2 linked regions of the Caenorhabditis elegans genome follow. The protein of the gene in region 1 purifies or fractionates together with the protein of each later gene. This does not show direct contact. Each region holds a gene or a part of one and is shown on either strand. Other genes may lie near its edges.

The links. The genes of interacting proteins can lie anywhere in the genome.
Region 2: the proteins of C50F4.1 (region 1) and F42A10.9 fractionate together in Caenorhabditis elegans (co-fractionation; one large-scale study listed by BioGRID). This does not show direct contact.

What each region holds. Positions count from the first base shown.
Region 1 is NC_003283.11:9,524,846-9,529,761, reverse strand, and holds C50F4.1 (CHK kinase-like domain-containing protein), read right to left. Parts: upstream 2,970-4,916; 5' UTR 2,918-2,969; coding exon 2,816-2,917; intron 1,953-2,815; coding exon 1,332-1,952; intron 1,243-1,331; coding exon 1,153-1,242; intron 1,084-1,152; coding exon 974-1,083; intron 793-973; coding exon 627-792; 3' UTR 512-626; downstream 1-511.
Region 2 is NC_003281.10:6,162,926-6,170,585, forward strand, and holds the start of F42A10.9 (Gamma-glutamylcyclotransferase family protein), read left to right. Parts: upstream 1-1,647; 5' UTR 1,648-1,726; coding exon 1,727-1,818; intron 1,819-1,877; coding exon 1,878-1,974; intron 1,975-1,980; exon of another isoform or gene 1,981-2,363; coding exon of another isoform or gene 2,364-2,628; intron 2,629-3,225; coding exon of another isoform or gene 3,226-3,370; intron 3,371-3,515; coding exon of another isoform or gene 3,516-3,539; intron 3,540-3,593; coding exon of another isoform or gene 3,594-4,329; intron 4,330-4,382; coding exon of another isoform or gene 4,383-5,459; intron 5,460-5,545; coding exon of another isoform or gene 5,546-5,605; exon of another isoform or gene 5,606-5,622; intron 5,623-5,665; coding exon 5,666-5,764; intron 5,765-7,660. Other genes in the region: nfm-1 (FERM domain-containing protein), read left to right, coding at 94-268, 474-689; efk-1 (Eukaryotic elongation factor 2 kinase), read right to left, coding at 2,364-2,628, 3,226-3,370, 3,516-3,539, 3,594-4,329, 4,383-5,459, 5,546-5,605.

The sequences.
Region 1 (4,916 bases):
AGCATTTTATTGTAAACCGTACGCTGAGTAGCCCCAAGTTTCTAAAACATATATCAGATCTTGAATAACGAGATGTCTGACAACTGATGATTCATGAACTACCCACATAACATTATCTCCTCCCGCCTGACCTAACTGTCCTGTTAACAAACTTTCGTTCCTATTTATTCTTCTTGTTTCTATCCCTCTTATTCAGTGTATTGTATTTATGATCTATTATGTGTACATTTTTCTTTTTTCTTCAACTTTTTCCACGTCTCTTCGCGAGCGTAAATAAATAAATTAAGTAATTAATATCTATTTACAATATAATTTATAAATAGTATATTGCTATTTATATATTGTAATATGAACATCTTCTTACATAATTTAATTTGAAAGAAATGTTCTGATTTTCTCGAAGACACCCAATCCCTTTTTTAAGCAAGCTTCAAGTGTTTTCTCACACGTCATACATTTATTATTTTGTCGTCCGTATATCTACGTTGTCAAGAGATGCATCTTTCCGTTCTTGTATTGAAGATTTATTCATTCGTCACCAAGAAAAAACGACCAATCTTTATTTTTGAATTCGGTCATTTATTCTCGATTCTTTGAAAAAAAAAGCAAATACGTTATCTTATTCTTCAATCATCATTCTCTTTTTGTGAGAGAAATGGGTGCTCATTATCCGAAATGTAGTTTCCAGTCAAGAAATCTACAGTATCATTCAACGCTGTCTCCCATCGACGTGCAGCATCTTGTTTGACGTCATCCGAACCTTCACTCAGTGTAAAAAGTAGAGACTCGATTCTGGAAATGATTAGAAATTTTATTTAATGGGACTAGTGTTCTGAAAATTTGGGGCAACCTAAAATGCCTTGAAAAATTATTTTCTTGAAAATCCGGTAAAACACTATTTTATAAAAAATATCAAAAGTACGACAACTTTTTGGTCTTTTAAAACATTTGAAAATTTGAAACCTAAACTCACCCATTGATTAGAACTGTAGGTTGATATTCCTGGAACCATCTTTTCAAATCATGCAGTTGATACTTTGGTGGGTAATAGTCAACAAGTGCATAAAAATAGACTTGAAATATCTAAAATTAAAACAAATTACATCAAAAACATCTGGTGCTCTGCCGTTCCCATAAGACTCTCGAACCCACTTTCATGAACTTTTTTCGTCGAATGTCGACATCTGCAGATGAAACAATCAAATTTGCTAAATCCTCCACTGGATTTCCAAGATGAATGTTCTAAATTAATTAGGTTTTCGTTGTTGAAAGATCAAAAGTAAAAATTATAGTAGAACGCAGTTTTTTCTATTTTAAAAATAATTACGTACTTCCCATTCTGTGATCTCTACCAAATTCCCATCCTCATCAAATCTGCAAATCTCAGCTGTCAATCTTCCATGTGCGATAACATTATGTTTTTCCTTTTCATCTGCATCTTCATCTTTCCAATCTTCCAAGTAATGAGTCAAAATTCCAACTTTTTCAATAACTGAGGATGGATTCATGAAGTAGTCTGCAACTTCTGTAGTAGTTACTGCTGTTTCCAACACTTCAATCAATTCTTTTTGAATTTTCTTTTTGAATGATATGATGTTTCCATAATTTTCTTGCACATTGAGTGAGAATTGTTTATTGATAGTTTTTGAGTTGACAGCGTGTAACTTTGCAATCTGTGAGGCAACTTGTTCCAATTCTGGTAATCCCAATTTGGTACGAACACTTCCTTTCTTCAAAAATTGAGTAACATAGACAGAATGTTTGTTTTCATCTTCCGTCACAACAAACGATCGATTAAAATGTGCACTTGGAATAGGAATCTTCTCAAACGTTGATATCTCATGCCAGAAAAGTGAATTGTAGTAGGCGGCAAGCTTGCTTCCTTCCTCTAGTTTCACTATAACATCTTGATCATCTCTCACCAAATGCACTCGGAAGAGGCCCTCCGCTGTCTAAAACCAGAAAACGATGATATTCTAGAAGGGCGGGAGAAAGAAATTGGCCTCATTCAAAGGTCATTCAGTATCACATTTTGGCACATTTCTTTCGAATTTGGAACAATTTCGTAGAAAGTTTAAATCTAATCCTAATACTATACTTCCAATATTTTAATTATTTTTTTTTGTTTCAACCGTATTGAGTTCAATTTTGAAAAACTTGTTTATTTAACAATATTTCCGTTTTCTTATCAGTAAAACAGGCAGTTAAAAATTTCCACAAAAAACGTCATTAGAAAATGAAACGACTTGAACGAAATTTCCTTATAACCGGAATAATCTTTGTGCTCATTTAACTCCCAATATAATACACTCCATCCAAAAACACAAACATGAAGTATTAATTTTAAAGAGGTAATATGGAATTAAAAAACATGAAAGCTTTGTACGAAGACAAAACATTGGAAAGTAATTCGTACTAGCACCTTTAAAAGTGAAGTTCAAAGATAATTTCACAAGCAACATTTTCGAAAATTTTTGAAATTAAACATTAAAAATTGTCTAAAAATATCTTAATCTAGCGTTGACGGTTTTTTCTAATCGTTGAAAATAATAGTCAGATTAAGAGAGTCGACAATGTAACGTATACGATTTTGGCATCATATTTGCAATATTTAAAAAATTTGCAAAATCCTTTTAAAATTTGAGCCATTAAAAAAACTAACAGTAATAGGAGTTACAATAATTTTATAGTACTTGATATCTGTAGTACATTTAAATTTTGAGTTAAAAGTTTTTGAGATTTTTGCAATGCCCTCAAATAGTTCCTATTGGTTTAATATATGAGTTTTCAACTATGAACTAATTTATAAAGTTACCTCTAACTCCACGGTTGTGACACCATTGATAGTGACAGTAGGATTAAGTTCTTTAACTCGAGACAATCCAAGTTCCTTTGCAATTAATGCAGTGATGAACATAATAACTTCTCTGTGAATCAACCAACAATGCCAACACTGATATGTCCTTCTTCTGAAAATGCAAAGAAAAAAGGGAGGAGAGGGAGCAGGTGGACGAGGTCTTGTTATCAGTGATAAAAAATGCGGGAGAAAAAAGCGAAGAGAATCGAAACTAATGACACTGTCCCGTTTATGACTTTGATGATGGGCGACGACAATACTTGCATATTTTGTGTTTCGTAGAGCAAATAACATTTGCAAACACATTTTATAGCAATGAAAAAGAAGAGGGAGTGAGTCACGAGCTGAAATTTTGAACGAAGATCATAGGTGGTAGGTACTTTGCTAATGTGGTAACCATTTGAAACTGATATTTATCCGAAAATTATGAAGTGGGCGGCACAATTCTGGACGTAGGATATCGGATATCAAACTAGTGGGTGGCTGAAATGAAGACGAATTTAAAATTTAAAGTTCACGTTCGAAGACATATAGGACATCTGCCAAGTTGGCACTACATGTATCACATTAAGTTTTCAGAAAAATTGCGATATTTTCTCTCTAGGCTTGCTTCATGTAATCGAGTTTGAAATCTTCTTTCATATTTGTTTCTGGTTTCAATCTTACTGGCTAATATTATTATCAAATCAGTAATAATTTGGCGAATTTTGAGCTAGGTTTATATTCAATTTATACTGGAATAATTATTTTGAATCGTAATGTTGTTTGTGTAACGGTTTGTAAGCTTATAATTTGGAAAATCCTTGAAATTTTTCGTTGGGTAAATCCGCGCTAATTTTTTACCCCGCGCAAAAAAGTTCAAAAGTTCAGAATTGAGGCCTTTCCATTTTACATGTGATTTCCTAAACTCTAAAAATAATTCCAAAATTAATTTTAAGGAAATTTGAAAACAATAACCTCAGGACACATTTAAATTATTGTTTTCATCCGTATAGAATTGAAAAAAATCATTTTCATAAATACCTATTTTCGAATTAACGTTTTGTTTTCGTGCGTACTTTAATGTTCTTTCAATAGCCCATTTCATCCTTGCTCCGGTTGAGTTGACGAACGCCTTCAAAATGAGCCATAATTGAGAGCATTACTTTTTGATGCATTTTATTTTCCATTAAATGTTGTTTCTCTTTTTGTTGCGTTGTGCAGAACAATAAAAATACAAAACAATAATTTAACTTTCGATCCAATTAAAATTATTTTTTTTAGAAAACCAAAAATATTGATTCGATATAACGCTGTCTTAAAAAAAAATCTTATGAACAAAAACTTCATCTGAATTTCTTTTTCGTATTGTTTTGTTAAGAAACTGAAAAAAAGTTGTTTTTTTCCAAATCGAGGCAACTCTTGTTTTATCAATATCAGTTCATAATCTCTTCCCTTTTGTAAGTGGTAAATAAGAGTTTCTGTTTGTTTTATAGTATTAAATCACTCATAAATTGATACTAAGTAATCTTCCTTTAAAACTATTTTTGATGCCGCATTGAATATTTTTTATTCTGAATATTTCAGAAAAAAAGTTGCCATCTAAAAATATATCTAGTATTTTTAGGAACTTTAAGAAGTGCGACTTTGAAATGTGAATGATTTCAGACTTATCATGAAAAAGTGCTTAACTCGGTAGAATTTCCAGCCTGTTAATCAAAAAGTCACGCATCATTTGACCCATCCGATTGTTTGATTTTAGCCACTCCCTTTCTAGCATTTTAAAAATGCTTCATGACACTCAACTGACTCAATACGTCAACCCATTTCCTTCTCCTCCCACTCAACAAGTCAAAACAATTTTTGTGCATCACGAACAACCACCTCCTTGTTTGGTAACATCATGACGTTTGAAATGCTTTCACCTTTACAAATTTGCATGACACTCTCTTTGAATACTTTGGGTGTTTAAACCTAAACAGCTTATATTCTTTGAGAAGGCATCAATTGGTCATTCTTCAAATTCCTTGCTCCTCTAAGCATTGTTTCCTGTTGCAAAAACCGTGAGCAGCAGAATACA
Region 2 (7,660 bases), on another chromosome or scaffold:
AAAAAAGGATAACTGAATTATATGCTAGCAGAGTTGAGCAATGGAGGTACAATCCTAATAGAGAATAGTATGTGACATTAGAAATTTTTTCAGGTCAGAATACGAAACACGAGCGCGAATCTTCAAGGAGCACCTGGAAGAATTACGTGGCGATATTGACGGCCTGAAACGAGACGGTAATGTACAAAATGGGCAGCATCGAGAGCATGATGCGGTTCATGCACAAAATGTGGCACACGGTTTTGATAAGTTCACGACGATGAGAATGGTAAGTAGATAATTTAGCAAGTTCTGTTAGCATGCTACCGTTCTGAACGGTTACTAAGCTGATCTCATGATCAGAAGGTCAAAAGTTCAAAAAGTTATTAAATCTCTTTTTCATCCTATTCTATTATATGTTAAGCTTCTAATTTATTAAAATTTCGCGCGTTTGGCATTTGTAAGTTTGACGCTTAACTTCGGAATATCTCCAGAAAAAATCAAAAAGCGCAAGCTCAATTGGCTCATCGGGTTCCTCCGATTCCTTGGAGCTCAATACTGTCGCTAGACATGTGGCGGGACGAGGGATTCCACGTGTCTCTACAGTATCCACTACGAGCTCGTCAAGTATTCTGAGCCACGTCATGATGCTGCATAGACAGCAGTCTTATGATTTGGGAAACACTGAATGGCAGGAAGCTGACATTTGAATATAGTGAGAAAATAGTGCCAGAGTTTGATTGTTGTGTGGTAGAGCGTGTTTGCATATTGACTAATTTTCCAATTATTGTTTTCTAACACTTGTTGATTGGTATTTTTGTTAGAGTTGAAAATAAACATTCATGGTTCAAGCGCTCTATGAATAAATTCAATAATATGCACACTGTAATTGTTTTTTTTTGACTTAAAATTTAAAAATCAGGAATCGCAACAATGAACGCAGCGCGAAAAATATTTCTTAGAGCGCAATCGTTACGTCGGGTACTGACACGAGATTATTTTTTCCGCTACAGTATCCAATAGTAGACGTTCCATCGTTTATTTGGAAATTCTTTTTCTTGAGTTTTTATGTTTTTGTAGTAAACCTATTCAGGGAAAATAAGATTTTCACAACAAAAACTCGAAAAATTTTTAAAAATAGAAAGAAACAAGAAAAAGCAAAACCCAGGGTACGGTATCTGAAAAGTTTCGCTCGCGCTAAGACTTTATTAATTTTATTAATTGATTCAAAAAATCACACATTTTTTAGTGAAACTATATCTTTGAATTTCACAAACCTGTCCGTCGGTGTATTTTGTTGTGATTTTTCAAATTTTGAAATGAACATTAGTGTGGTATTGATTGATTATTCTTCTCATTTTCCAATTATAATTTTCTTATAATTTCAGAGTATGCGAGGAACTCCACGACAACGAGCACAAGCTTTTGATGGAATGTGATAAGAAACTTTATGGCCATTTATGAACCGATTTTCCTTTTTTTTCTTCAGTTTTTCCCCATCCCGATAAGAGATAACCCCATTTTGTGCTCATTCAGTTTATTGATTTTTCCACACCCTTTTGCCATTTTTCAATCAATAATCTTTCGTGGCAAGACAAAAACGCGTATTTTTCTTCTTTTTTCCGAAAGGCATATTGTGTAAATATACATATCGAATGATTGATGAATACAGATTTTTTTTAAATGTTTTTTTATTAACTTAAAATAATGAAAAAATCTGTAATTTATTAATTCATTTCCAGCAAAAATGGGCGAAAAATTCAAGGTTTTCGTGTATGGAACCCTGAAAACAGGAGAGCCAAACTACAAGGTTCTGTCAGAAACTGACGGAGAATATCGGTAAGTTCGGGAGTACTGAAGAATTTTGAGTGTCAAATGTGATGCATTACTTCTTTCAGATTCATCTCATCTGGAACTACAGTGGAAAAGTTCCCATTGGTAGTTGGAACCAAATATAACATTCCATTTTTGCTTGATGATGCTGGGAATGGAAATGTGAGTTTTACAACCTGAAGTTTATTTAAACCGACGTACTTTGAAGCATATTGACAAGTAATTAAAAAAAAAGAACGAGAACGGAATCAGCTTTGGCAGGGAAACAAAGATGAATAAGGAAATTTTAAAGAAAGAAACAGAAAAATGATTATGCGCACGGTTTAAAGGGAGTATAAATGCCAAAAACTTGTTTAGATCCGAAATTTTTTTGGTATTCAAAATCTTTGAAATTTTTTTCTTTCCTTGAATCCGGGGACTGTGACAGGGGGAAACTAAAAATTGTAGGGGATGGGGATACTAACTAATATGAAAAAAAAAACAAACAATAATGTACATTATACCAGAAAAAAGGATATACATTGAGGATTGAAGAAAGGGGAATTCAAGAATCATTCTCCACACATTTCCGCTTTTTCATAGTATTTATTTGCGAGCTTTCCATTCATTGCTTCCATTGCTGCTTCAGCAGCTTCATTGAATAGACCATATGCTCGTTCGAAGTCTTGATTCAGGCCATAACCTCCCTCTTTGTACATTTCAGCCATTTTGGCTAGAATCTCGTGACGAGTCAGTGGAGCAAATGAGGAGAATGTCGTTTTTCCACAATCAGAGTCAAGTTCTTCTTCTTCTTGGAATCCAACGACGCGTTGATACCTACAAAATTTAGAATATTTCTCAAGTTTATAGAAAAAATGTTAAGGAACAAAATCATCCAAGAAGTCCAGAATAAAAATCGCAAATAGGTCATATATGATTTTCTTTTTGAAAAATACAACAAGTAGATTTAGTTTTTTCTGAACATATTTTTTGAAGGTTCCTAGTTTTTCTGGTTTTTCACAATTTTTCTTATAAAAAATGAATCAGAGACGGGTACTTCTATTCGAATTTTAAAAAATTTTCGATTAAAAAATTTCAATTTCAATTTCCAAATTTCCTAAATGTTCAAAAATTCAAATTTCAAAAAATCGAAAATCTTCGTTTTTTGATTTTTTTTTTCGTAAATTGAAATTTTTATTTAGAAGAAAAAAAATTTCCATCGAAACAAACAAAGTTTGATGAAATTTCAAATCTGTTAATTACATTCTAAATCTTTTTTTTCGATTTTCAATTTTCCGGCTATTCGAAAAAATTTTCAATTAAAAAAAATTAGAAGCTATAGCATCAAACATTTTAGCTTTTTTAGGTTTCTTAAAAGTATTCTCTATAAAGTCGGGTTACTGTATCTTCACTAGAATCTCATAAATTTCTTACCAATCAATCGATTTCTTATAATCCGTTCTTCGATTCGGTCCGAGATGCTGACCAGTTTCATAAGCGTGTGCCATGTACAGCATTGCACCCTTATCACCCATCTCTGCAGCAATTTCCATCAGATCGGAGCCGAACTCTTCTAGGTCTGAAAATTTTTGAATTTTGATAAAATACGGGATGCTGAGAACACTAGGATTGAATCTTTCAAAAAAGGAAACAACACGAAAGGTTAAATTGGGAAATCACAAAATAATTTTTAAAAAGCACACACGAGAAAACTTGATTCTTACCACAAGGTTTTTGTCCTTTATCAGCTGAAAAGTTGGAATTTCAGATTTAAAAGAGAAAAATTAACAAAAAAAGCTCACCTCGAATTCCATTTTCCTGTTCTCCAAACCCATTAGGAAACAGATCATCAACGGTGACTTCTTTCAACAATTCATGTGGTAATCCGAGAACAATATGAGCCGATGTTAGCACAGCCTCAAGGATTCCACACTTCCGAGCGATATCCAAATGGAAAATTGCAGACTGCTTGTCGTATTTGATTGGTACACGAGCGTCATTTTCACTTCCCTCAAGCATTTCCTTATGTTCTGAATCAACTTCTACGAACCGCCCGAGCTCATGATATCGTGAGAGATCAATATGAATCTGACCGAGGACAGAGAACTGATGCCCGGTGACTTGTGGTACGTCTTCATCATTTTCCAGGTTAGCAGCCATTTGTTGAAGTTGAAGTGATAGAATGTTTGCTGGAACTGATTGTTTTCGAAGAACCTTCCAGAATTCATCCTTTTCAGTGTCTCTGGTTTGTCTAGAACTATTCATAGAATATGTCCCAACAGAACTTCTGAAGCTATCATGTCTCTGACGAAGTGAGTTTAAATCTACAAATCCGCATTTTCTAGGACGAGATGCTGATTCATCGCCAGAAGATCTCGTTGAAATGCTCATTCTACTACGTCGACTTTTCTGACTATTTCCACTTTTTTCACTTCTTGGATAGTCTTCTTCTTCGTCCTCTTCATCTTCGGAGCAAGGCTCACAGAGTTGCTCAACAACTGGAATACACTCAGGACATACACAGTCTTCGTTGTGACTCTGAAAAATATAAAAATAGAATACGTTAGAACTTTTTTAAATGTTTCTTTCACCTTTGCTGACAAATCGGTTGACGATTGATTCAACGTCTTCCTTTTTCTCAATTGATCCATCGAAATACCATGCTCGACATGTACACATTCACTTGAAATTCGATTTCTTCTTGCTTCGAACACAGTTGGAGGAACTATGCATGACTTTTTCTGCTTTGCAGCTACTTCCATCGCAACTTCGGTAGCCTCGATTTCAGGTGGCGAAAGTTCGAAATTTGATAGATCCATTGTCTCACAAATATCGTTACATCTGTGTGAATGGAAGAAAAGAGCCATTCCACGAGTTCCGAGGTTTCCATCTCCATAATCAGTTCCCACAACTGTATGAATCTGAGGATCTGTGTAAAGATCACCAACTCCTTGAATATCGACAACCATCATTTGATGACCAGAACGTTCGAAGGTGAAGTGAGAAAATGCTTGTGGTGTAAGACGAGCTGCATTTGATACAAATCCTGAGTTTGAATTGTATTTTATATATTTTCCCTCGATGAAATGCTCCAAATGATAGAGTGGAGAACCTTTTACATCAATCATCTCAATGACACACATTTGAACAATATCAATTTTCTTCGGTGGATTATACCGATTATATTCTTCAGCCCATAATTTGGCATCCATCTGAAGTCTGACATCATCGAAAAGAACTCTACGATCGACTTGACAAATGTATCTTTTTGCGACATAGTTGCTGCTCCAATCTTGACTTGTTCCGTGCTTGGAGCACTTTTTGAGTCGGTAGCATTCTCGCATGGCTCCACGTGCAAAACTGTCCGGATGAAGTCTCACATCGACTATATCCTCTGTCCATTGCTTTCTGATTGCAGAATACCTATATCGTTTAGCTCGTTGTACTGGATACTCGTGGATGTTGAACTCATCCCATGGATCTATATAGTTTGTTCTTGCTCGGCGAGCAGCCTTGCGCCATGTCTCCATAAGTTTTCTAACGTGGAGAGGATCCATACGAGGCTTCTCGATAACGACATCATTCTGTTCAATGAACACTTCATCTGCGTAGTCGTCGGTTATCCGAACCATTTTTGACGCATTGAGCGAGAATGTCCGAGCCGAGGCCTTGAAAGTAAAAATTGTAGTTTGTTTAATTGAATTTTAATTAAATAAATTTAATTTTGTTAAAGAATTGTTTTCAAAAATCCCACCTCCAATCCTGGTGAGTTAGTTGGACTATTGTCGCTCTCATTTGTTGTGTCGATCGTCATTTTGCCCAGTTTGACTACTGAAACAACTATTTTGTAAATAATTAATCCAAATTTTTTCAGAACATTGAAGGAGAAATGTATGAAGTTTGCGAGAAGAAATTGAAGGTGCTCGATGAGTTGGAAGCCTACCCAACATTGTACGATAGAAAGAAAGTTGAGGTAAGTCAGATAAAAAAGGTTCTGTTTGATTTCCTACTGTAGATGTTTTTATTCTTAAAAAACGATATTACCTAGTTGCGAAAAAGATTTAAAGTGTAAAATCTATGAAATTGGGAAAAACTGGACGTGGAGAACTACCGTACTTTTTAAAGGCGCACTCTCTTGTTTGCGCTGAAATTTTTTGGTCGCGTTGAGACCAGGTATCGTATCAGAACTCAAGGCAAGTCAAAGGTCTTGTTTTCTATGTCAGGCCCAGACACTACTCATCTAATCACACCCAACAAAAAACGAGCATGAATTAAAGCGACAACGGGGGGAGAACGTGTCGAATGAAAGAATACTTGAAAGCAGATGATAGAGAAAAGAGAAGCAAACAAACATATAAACAGTTTGATTTCTGTTCCATCGAGATGCGTCACGTGCTGGTCAGCTGAGAGCTTTTTATGGAAATTTTTGGATGTAATAACAATATGTTTATTATGCATTCGTAAAAAATGGATCCAAAAGTAAATTTGATCTCAGTGAAAAGAAATCGATTTTTAAAAATAACATTCTGAAACGACCATTAGAAGTAATAATTGAAAATTATTAAAGGTTTTCCAATTATTTTCTGAATATTTGTTTCTGATAATTGATAATTGAGATTTATGAAATTCGTATTCACTTTTAGAACAATTTTAAGATTCAAACTGCAGAAGTTTTCTATTTCGAGCATTTTTAGGTTTTTAGTCTATAATCCAGTGATTTGTGTGTAGAGAAGAGTTGGGTAAATAGAGAATTACGAGGATCGAGAACCAGATTCGGAAGATATTATCTTTTTCAATGGAAAACATACGATTTTGGATTAAAGTCCGTAAATTGTGTTTTATAAATCATTTTTATAAATGAGATTATGCATTTTGAAAAGAAACAAAAACTATTTCATATTTTGTAAGTATTGTAGGCATTTAGAGGTATCTTCAAAAGTTCTATAAAATTATTTTTTAAAAAATCTAAAATCCTCCCCGATATCGGGCCCGATAGGAATAAATAGAGAAAGAAAAAAGCTCATAAATTATAATGGGTAATATTTTTTGAAGGAACATTCGAGAAACGTCGAGGAAAATTTTCAAGATCAAAGATTAAAAAATCAAAAGAACAAAAAATCGAAAATTACTTTCAATTTTAAGTTTTTCAGTTTTGCACGTTTTTGTACTTACAGTTAGACATTAAAGATAAAAATGATTTTTTGTGATTTGATAAAAAGGGCAGATGGTGAATAATATATCAATGAGAAACCAATCCTATTATTTTTAATGAACATAATAAATCATCTGGTTGAGTAGATTCTTGGAATATAAAAATGAAATATTCTGATTTCCTTGAAACTTCAATCTGACCGAGCCGAATGTAATAGGTCAAATGTGACCAATATCTCTCAGACATTTATCACTAGCACTTTAAAATAGAAACAGGAATCAGTAGACTCTCTGAAGTTGAAAAAAGACCGACGGAAAAACTGGGAGAAAACTACGTGAAGAAATGGAAAATCGAGAAAGGCCTAGAGGCACCCAGAAGAATGGAGAAAGGAGAAGAAGGAGAGACAATGATGAAGAATGAGAGATTTAGAGAAACAGACAGAGTGTAAACCGAAAAGAGATGGGTGTGCACATTTGACTTGGATGGATGAATGGTTGGGACCACTTGGTGTTTTTTTTGGCTGAAAAATATAGAGGAAGTTAAAATAAAGTGTATATGAAGGAACCTATAATTATTGATTTAGGATATTTATGGAATAGATAATATGAATGAGCTCATTCAGACAGCGCGGGTTACTGTAGAAAGTAGACACGAAATTTTCAAAAAAAAATGTAAACGTCTTCGACCGTTTGTTTTATTTTTCATTGTTGAATCATA